2 linked regions of the Bombyx mori genome follow. The protein of the gene in region 2 binds, or shares a complex with, the protein of the main gene of each other region. Links are inferred from orthologs where the notes say so. Each region holds a gene or a part of one and is shown on either strand. Other genes may lie near its edges. The genes, in order: FRSA and FRSB.

Region 1 (3,967 bases), about 12 Mb from region 2:
TAGAACAGTTTCCAGAAATTCTAACGTCATATTTACTAGAAGATCCTTCTCGTTCGCTTAACGTCAGGCAAATGATATACATGCTTGCGTGCGACGCTATTCAATACAATAAAAAAGTTCAAAAAATACCACGTGATGGCTCTTATAATATGAAAAATACATTGCAAAATTATAGTTTTCACGATTGTTTTTTCAAATTTAGTATATGACATAGATTAAGTACAATTTACAAGACAAATGGTATTAAATATTATAATGAGAAAAAATATCTCACATTTTAAAAATATATGCTCACACTAGTAAAAATTTATCAATGAATTTGTAATATGGAAGAATATTCCACAAACTGGAGAGGATTCTCGCTTAAAACCACTTACATTAAAAGTGTTCACCATGATTACAAGGAAACTTTCACGATTTTCGAAAAAAAACAAGCCACAAGCTGTATCAGTGCCATTTTAACTTCGTACTACAAACGTAAATAGACGCCATTTTTCTTTTAATCCATTCATTGCTCTTTTTCGGTGATGCCAACAATTAATCTGGCTTCCCACCAAATTCAATATGAAAACCATCAGAAATCTACGTACCTACCATTAAATTTTCCATTAAACAGAGTTCTTATTAATATAGAACAATATTTTTTTGTTAATAAGCTTTATTAATATATGATGTTCTATTAATCTAATCAATATTTCTTATATAATTTATTTTAATAAATTTCACCATAACTTTGTACGTTTATTTTGAACCAATTTAATTTTTGACGTTGATGGAAATTCTAAATTCTCGCAACATTTTCTAGTTAAGTTTAAGTCACATCGTTTAAATAATATGTATTTAGATATATTATTGTCATAAAATGTTTAAAATCCTGTAAAGTGGATTGATTTTAACCTTTTCGATAATTTTCAACAACGCCCAAGCTACTAAAAAATCCACTAACCACTAAAAGCCATTTTTGATAACTAAGACGGGGGTCCAAATTCCGAGATTTTATGGAAAATCCTCTAAGCTAGCAACACTGCTTTTTGCTTGTAAAATGTGCGAGAGGGACACCACCACTTAATAATCATTCTCTTTTCAGACCGTTTTTCCTTACATCTTTTGCTATTTAAAAATAAACTTTAAGCCATAGAGATAAAGTATATTTTTAGTTTTTATGTCAAACGAAGTAAGCACTCCAGTTAGAATAGTAACTCTATGGATAGCTAATACAAAATTTTAGTGAGAATGAAGAAGACTCGATGCTTTTTGTGATTTTGACGTTGTTTTGACGTTGTTTTGACGTTTCGTTACTCGTTGCTGCCATATAGGTTGCTGCTGATAGAAATGGAACAGTGAAAGCTGGAGCTCAGTTTTGAGATTTTATAACCTAAAAAGCTAAAATATTCGGGCGAAGAACTCAAAATGGAATTGAACGAAAGAATTTTAAAGTATCTAGAAAACAGCGACAAAGCTGACACTTTAAAATTATGTGAAGAATTCAACGAAGAACATCAAAAAATAGTTGGTGCTGTAAAAAGTTTGGAAGCTCTTGAAATGGTTATTTCGGAAGCTGTTAAGATTACAAAATGGGAGTTAACTGAAGAAGGAGAACTCGTTGCTAATAATGGTAGCCACGAAGCCGTATTATACAGAAGTATACCAGACAGTGGTGTACCGCAATCTGAAGCTATGAAGGTAAACGTTTTGAACTTGAACATTATCTTAGATTACATCTAGAATAATGAATAGAACACAAAAAAATAGGATTTTTCTTTAAACTTAAAAAAATATATAAATTGGTCATAACATAGATACAATGTAAACAAGTAATATGATATTATTAGATTATTAAGAAATTAAAATATTATGTATAATGTTATATTGATCCTTGTGCATTAATTATTTTTTGAAATATGAAATGCGTACAAATTTTTTTTTCTTCTCTTGTTTCTCTTAACAACTACATAAATAAAAATAAATAATAAAACTTGTAAAACGTGTAAAAGTAGTTGCTGAAGTTACCTGAAAGTTTACCTTCTAGATGGTACCAAATGCAAAGGTGGGATTCAGTAAAGCCATGTCATCTGGATGGATATACATAGATAAATCAAGTGGACCGCCCCTCGTCAAACGTAAAGTTGATTCAATTACAGACATTGTACAGGAGAACCTTAGTGAAATTAGAAAAGGTATAGATAATTTATCAGAAAATGTAAGAAATGACTATAAAAAAAGGAAACTTCTACAAGAGGTGACCATTAAAAGCTTCTTGCTGTCGAAGGGCCCCCAATTTGCGATAACAATAAAGAAATTGGAAACAGATTTAACAAGTGACATGTTGTTGAGTGGCTCGTGGAAGACTCTAGAATTCAAACCATATAATTTTGATGCTTTAGGTAAGTTTTTTCTAAGAACTTTTTCAGGTAAACAATAAGAATAAAAATGCAATTTGAGAAGTATCTAAGACCCAAGAAGTTCTCAATTACTGCATCGGTACTTGTACTTGTAAATGTTGACTATATTTTGTGTCATCTCATAAAGATGTAATTTTTTTAAATTATTAAAATTAATCAATCAGAAAAACATTGAAATCTATTTAGTCATAAGAAAGATGTAATTACTGTAATTTCATACTATCAAAGCATACACTACTTGTAATGTTAGTATCAATGTTAAAGCTTGTCTATCAATATGTTGACAACTTCCTTACTGGATGGAGCAGAATATTTCTTGTCACTCAGACTCTTTTTTTTGTCTCATGATCAGAATCACAACCCACTTGGAGATCCAGAACCTTAGTGGGTTACGTTACTATCAAATGGTGACTAAGTGCCTAAAAGCAAGCAAGCGATGAGAGTAGATAAAGAGGGCACTCTGTCCCAAAATTCAAATAATTGCTCCAAAATGTATTGAATTTAATTAATTGTTAAAATCTTAGTTAATACCACATTGCCTACAATCCAATTGTGAGTTGAAATCGTTCTGAGTAGTGATCCATAATAAATCATTAAATTATATAATTTCACAGGCCAACCACCAGAATGTGGTCACCTCCATCCCCTCTTGAAAGTAAGGTCGGAATTCCGTGAGATATTCTTGGAAATGGGTTTCACGGAGATGCCGACAAATAAATACGTTGAGAGTTCATTCTGGAACTTTGACGCACTGTTCCAACCTCAACAGCACCCAGCCAGGGATGCTCACGACACATTCTTCATGTCCTCGCCTGCTGCCACCACGGAGTTCCCCATGGAATACCTGGAGAGGGTGAAGAAGGTGCACAGTAAAGGTGGATATGGCTCCCAGGTTTGTTAATTACTGAATTTAATATTAGCAGTTGAATTTTTTTTTTTTTTTATTGCTTAGATGGGTATACGAGCTCACAGCCCACCTGGTGTTAAGTGGTTACTGGAGCCCATAGACATCCACAACGTAAATGCGCCACCCACCTTGAGATATAAGTTCTAAGGTCTCAGTATAGTTACAACGGCTGCCCCGCCCTTCAGACCGAAACGCATTACTGCTTCACGGCAGAAATAGGCAGGGCGGTGGTACCTACACGTGCGGACTCACAAGAGGTCCTACCACCAGTAATTACGCAAATTATAATTTTGCGGGTTTCATTTTTATTACACGATGCTATTCCTTCACTGTGGAAGTCAATCGTGAACATTTGTTGAGTACGTATTTCATTAGAAAAATTGGTACCCGCCTGAGATTCGAACATCGGTGTATCGCTCAACACGAATGCACCGGACGTCTTATCCGTTAGGCCACGACGACTTCCAAGAATCCAATGAAATTAAAATGCTTAGATATTAATGTCTATCATAATCTAGAATGGTCTTAGTAACCTCTGCACCTGCAGGCACTTGGTGTTAAGTAATTACCGGACTCACATACATCACCCCTTACGTGCTGCCTTACACATTTACACTCCAGGTTTTAATTATCAATTGTTTAGTAATTATATATATTT
Region 2 (4,787 bases):
CTAGGTCCCTACTCTTGCTCCTACTGTTAGAGCTGCAGGCATCTGATTACAGTGTTAGTGAATAAAATGGAGTTTGCAGACTTTCATCAACAATAATAACTCCGCACCATCAGCCTAGCTTACAGTTATAATAAAAAACATATATTAAAATTAATTTATTTAAAAAAAACTGATTCAAGACTACCATGTATAGAATGCTATAGTAGAATTATTTTGTCTGTACAGTTTGGGTCATAAAAATCGGTGATCGAGCGGTGAAGCGAGTATTTCGCTCTCTCTTCTACTCACGAGTCTTATGGACGGGCATAATGATGCGCATTATGGTTGTTGATAAGCGTTATCGATAGTGTATTTAGTTTTGTCATTTTGTGGGTTAGTGATAAAAATGAAAGAAAAAACCACTAATCGAACACTTACAGCACATATCGCCGCAGTAAGTTAACGAGTACGGCGGAAATTAACACTTTGTAACTTTTTGGGATCTATTCTTATTTCACAGAGAAATTTTAACACATTGTTGATAAAAAACACGTGCAAATAATTATTTTGAATAAATTTTGCCATTTTGATACAAAACAAACTAAAGAACTCACTAAAGAAAATCAGAGAACGAATGCATAAAAACACATTTCTCTTCGACATAATGTACTATAATTTGCAGGTAAATACAAATGACTCATAACATAGCAATGTCTCACCACCCTTCGTATACCACCCCGCCCGTCGCCGTGTACCTAAGCCTTCGATGACTTATTTGTTTTTATAGACGCCTGCGCAACATGCTCACCACCCTAGCCGGGCTATGTTTTATGACCCAAACTGCACAGACAAAATAATTCTACTATAGGCAATTCCTCATAGACCTACACATTGTGAAAGGTTTTTTTACAATTATGTCTTTGTCAAAGTAATAAAATATAATAAATTTAAGGTTAATTTAAAAACTGCAGTAGTTGTGTTTATCGTGTTCACTTCATACCATTTAGATTGTCTGTAGTCTTGTCTGCTGGTCTGTAGTCTTGTCTGCTGTTCGAATTCTATTCTTATTTTTATACTTACTCCACTGATACCTGTGCAGGCTCGCAATAATACACTGCTATCAGTACATCAATTCAAATGCTTTTTATGCTTGATATATCAATTTATTACCTGTAGATCAATGAAACTATCATAAGATTCCTTTGTAAAAGTAATGCCTCTAAGTACAGCTGCTACAGCATAGGGTCTTATTTGTGCTGTGGCCATCGTTAGGTGTAAAGAGTTACAGTCTTCATATTTTTTCACTTTGTACTGAGGTGGAGGTTTCCTGAAATTTATTTATAATGATCTCATCATTTACTTTTACCGTCGCACCTGCTGCTTACAATTGTTCATAGTAGCAATGCTGCTAAAGCAAAATGTGTATCTACTTTGAAACATTGAGTTAGTTGAGTGTACTTTAAGTCATTATTTTTACCACTTAACATCCTGCTCTAGAATGAACAGTCACAGTATTATTGTACAGTATTTCTTCCAGTCTTTCTTGAAATCTTTAACAAGTCTTATTCAAGAGAAGTTTGAAGGGTGTCCTCAGTAGCGGGCAAAAGAGGTAATAAAAGTTTTCACTAGAGAATGGGCAGCAGCTTTTCTTAGTATCAAAATTCAAGTACAGTTCTGGGAGATCTCAACAGAGCAAACCGGTATTTCACACCTGGATAAAGAATTTTGCTTTACAAAGCTCAGGTTCGGCCTCGCATGGAGTACTGCTACCACGTCATGGAATCCTTTCATTAGACTACATAAAGAAGAGAGCCATTCGGATTATTGATAATCCCATTCTCACGGATTGTTTGGAACCTCGGGGTCTGTCGAGGGACGTTGGTTCCATCTGTATTTTGTACCGTATGTTTCATGGGGAGAGCTCTGAAGAATTAAGGATTGAATTGAGATGATACCATCATTTCAAACAATACCATTGCACTGCTCGCCACCGGCGTAGAGTTCATCCATATTATGTGGAGCCAGCGTTCATCCACAGTGTTTCCAGAGATATTTTTTGCAACGTACCATCCAGCTTCGGAATGAGTTCCCCTCCACGGTGTTTACCAAGCTCTTCTTCAAGGCTTGTAGAGAGTATTAGACAGTAGGCAACGCTAATGTCCATGAGTGATGTTAACCACTCACCATCAGGTGGGCCGTATGCTCATCTACCGACAAGGGCAGTAAAAAAAGAAAACTGCAATAGCATTCATTGGTGGTAGAGGATATTACAAGTAGGTATTACTATCCTGCCTATTTTTGTTACAAAGTATTCATGCATTCTGCTTTGCGGGTTACAACCACTTTTATATGATTTCAAATTTATGTCATAAGTTGGGTGGTAATATTAACAATGTAATAACTGGGCTCTGGTGACTTCTGTACACCAGGTAGACTTGTTCACCCATACACAATAAATAAATAAAATAGAAAAAAATATCCATTAACTTACTTCCCCTGGAACACTAATAGACCATCAACAAGTCCTTCGAGGCACAATAAGTCATATCTATTGGCTGGGATGTCTATTCTGTAGAGGATCTCATCAGATAATTCAGCATCTGCTTGGTCACCTTGTTCTTTAATTAACATTTGTTTCTCCGTAGTCTGAAATTGGTAGACACACATTAATATCGCCACAAATCCTTTCTTCAAGCTCTGAATTCAAGATAATACATTTACATATATTTTTCAAGGTAAATCATTATTTTAATTATTACAATAAAACTAGGTTTCAGATCATTATTTCGTTTTTTTTAATTTAGTGGGTCCTAAAATGGGTACTCACAACTTCATCAAGCTCTAAACCAAATTTGAAACATAGGTCTTGAAATTCTTCATCAGCTGAAATGTTTCGATAAAAGCATTTTAATTTGAATTAAAATTAAACTAATTTTTTTACAAAATATTCTCATACTGTATGTAGAACCGAGTGCGGCGAAAAGCGCATCGCGCTTTAAAGAAATTGTGGGCATTCTTGATAAAATTATTTAAAAACGAGTGAGTAGACCATATGTGAAATATGTCAGTGCTGCGCTCTTCCAAAACTATCGGTTTTTTTTTTGGTACAATTTTCCTTATCAGGAAAGGCAAGGAAATCTAAGCCCATACAGCCATGTCTGTTCTAAAACCATAGATAATACAAATTCTATTTAAGGGTTTTTCTGACCTGGTAACTAGGACCTTTATACCATATCTTATTTTAATTTATAAATATTCCTATTGTGTTAATTTAAAATAATAATATGGAGTGAAATGAAATGAAATGAAGAAGATTAACTTTAGACATTAATCAACTGGGATGAAATTAAATAAAATGATATGCGATGAAATATAATCTCAGGAAAATGGTGGTCATTTACTGAGACTTTTTCAGTTGACTTTTTGGAGGATCCCTAGAAGTTACGTCTAGTGTTTTCTTTTATTTTTTCACATTTGTGCACTTTCACAGATATTAAAGAGTTAATAAGCCACCGTTATTTTATTACATCTCTAAACCTGAAAAAACACTAAGTAGACAAATGACACAACTTCATTCCTCGCATTCCCGCCAAATAGTCAGTTAATACAAAAAAGCACCACAAATCACAGAAAATAAGGGTGACAGTTCACGGCAGGGATGCTGGATAGTATCTACTGACAAAATTGATTTAAAATAAGTTACTCGATAATAAAAAGAAAAGCATCATTATGAAAAGCATTTTATCAGAAAATTCTATTTAAGTTATGTTATATTCATGAGGTACTGATATAATCATAAGAACTGGTATTTTAGAATAGAGAGTTGAATGAACATTTTATTGGATAAGTCCATATTGGATATTGGTATATATAATTAAATACTTGTCAGTTTTTATTTAGGCCATGAAAATTAGTGAGCCAACTCATATACAACTACAAAACAATTAACACTTAATCTTTAAAAGATCAAATTTTCATCTAATTATTCACAAACGGGATAAAACATGACTTCAGTTCTCAAGACAAAGTTTTTATTAAATGTATTGTATAATTATGATTAATGAAAATGCGTTTATTTTTTGTTTTGCTGGGTAGAAAACACAGAAATAGCACTAAAAACTGATTTTTGCGAATTTTTTTGTGAATCTATTATTATTAAACCATTGATTCGAATTGATACAAAGATCGTTTTGTGTTGCAAAAATTTCCATCCCTACTAATGATTTTTACTGCCAGATGGTTTCGTTGATTTTCCCCTTTTTTATATTTTCCCACAAAATTTGACAGCAAAAAATGAAAAATGTTTTATGTATTAGATTAACAATAGAAATTACTTCTCCAGTACAACACCTACGTAATACATAAAAACACACATATGAAAAAGGTATAAGGGAAAAATATTCGGGGAGCTGAACGTGTAATTTCTTTCCAGTTCGACAACAAATTAAAACTCCACGCAGGAAAAAAAAATCTTTAGATTTTTTTATTACCTCTATAAACAAACGGGCAGTACACCTGATGTGCTGAGTGGTTACCATCACTCATTAACTTTAGTAATGCAAGAGATACAGCCATGCCACTCCCTACCTCTCATCTAGTGTTGTATATGTATTTTTTAATTACAGAAATAGTATCAACACTCAATCCCCTTACTTTCACCAATGTGTTGGGGCTGGTGCACATGGCATGTCGGAGCTGCTTAAATTAAAACCTCACCAACCTGTCACTCAATGACTTAGTAGTCTCAAATAAAACAGAACTCATCTGGATTGCTAGGTAGCAGTCGTTGATATCACGAAAATAGCTGT

Evidence for each region.
Region 1: the proteins of FRSB (region 2) and FRSA are in contact, whole or in part, in a crystal structure (PDB 3L4G), measured with the Homo sapiens proteins. The link is inferred for Bombyx mori from reciprocal best matches to the Homo sapiens genes FARSB and FARSA. Residues at the interface, in NP_005678.3 of Homo sapiens: Glu26, Phe29, Gly32, Leu33, Pro68, Ala69, Asn70, Ile150, Arg152, Asp259, Thr261, Lys262, Arg305, Lys316, Lys317, Val318, Gly319, Ile359, His360, Cys362, Asp363, Glu366, Ala369, Ile370, Tyr374, Asn375, Ile377, Gln378, Met379, Thr380; in NP_004452.1 of Homo sapiens: Ser221, Gly222, His223, Leu224, His225, Leu227, Leu228, Arg231, Ser232, Arg235, Leu239, Gly242, Phe243, Thr244, Glu245, Pro247, Asp249, Asn250, Phe251, Ile252, Glu253, Ser254, Phe263, Gln266, Gln267, Phe277, Phe278, Leu279, Arg280, Asp281.

Annotation. Positions count from the first base shown.
Region 1 is NC_085112.1:15,644,997-15,648,963, reverse strand, and holds the start of FRSA (phenylalanyl-tRNA synthetase alpha subunit), read left to right. Parts: upstream 1-1,167; 5' UTR 1,168-1,410; coding exon 1,411-1,683; intron 1,684-2,029; coding exon 2,030-2,384; intron 2,385-3,016; coding exon 3,017-3,294; intron 3,295-3,967.
Region 2 is NC_085112.1:3,834,142-3,838,928, forward strand, and holds the start of FRSB (phenylalanyl-tRNA synthetase beta subunit), read right to left. Parts: upstream 3,068-4,787; 5' UTR 2,994-3,067; coding exon 2,936-2,993; intron 2,863-2,935; coding exon 2,807-2,862; intron 2,626-2,806; coding exon 2,471-2,625; intron 1,307-2,470; coding exon 1,150-1,306; intron 1-1,149.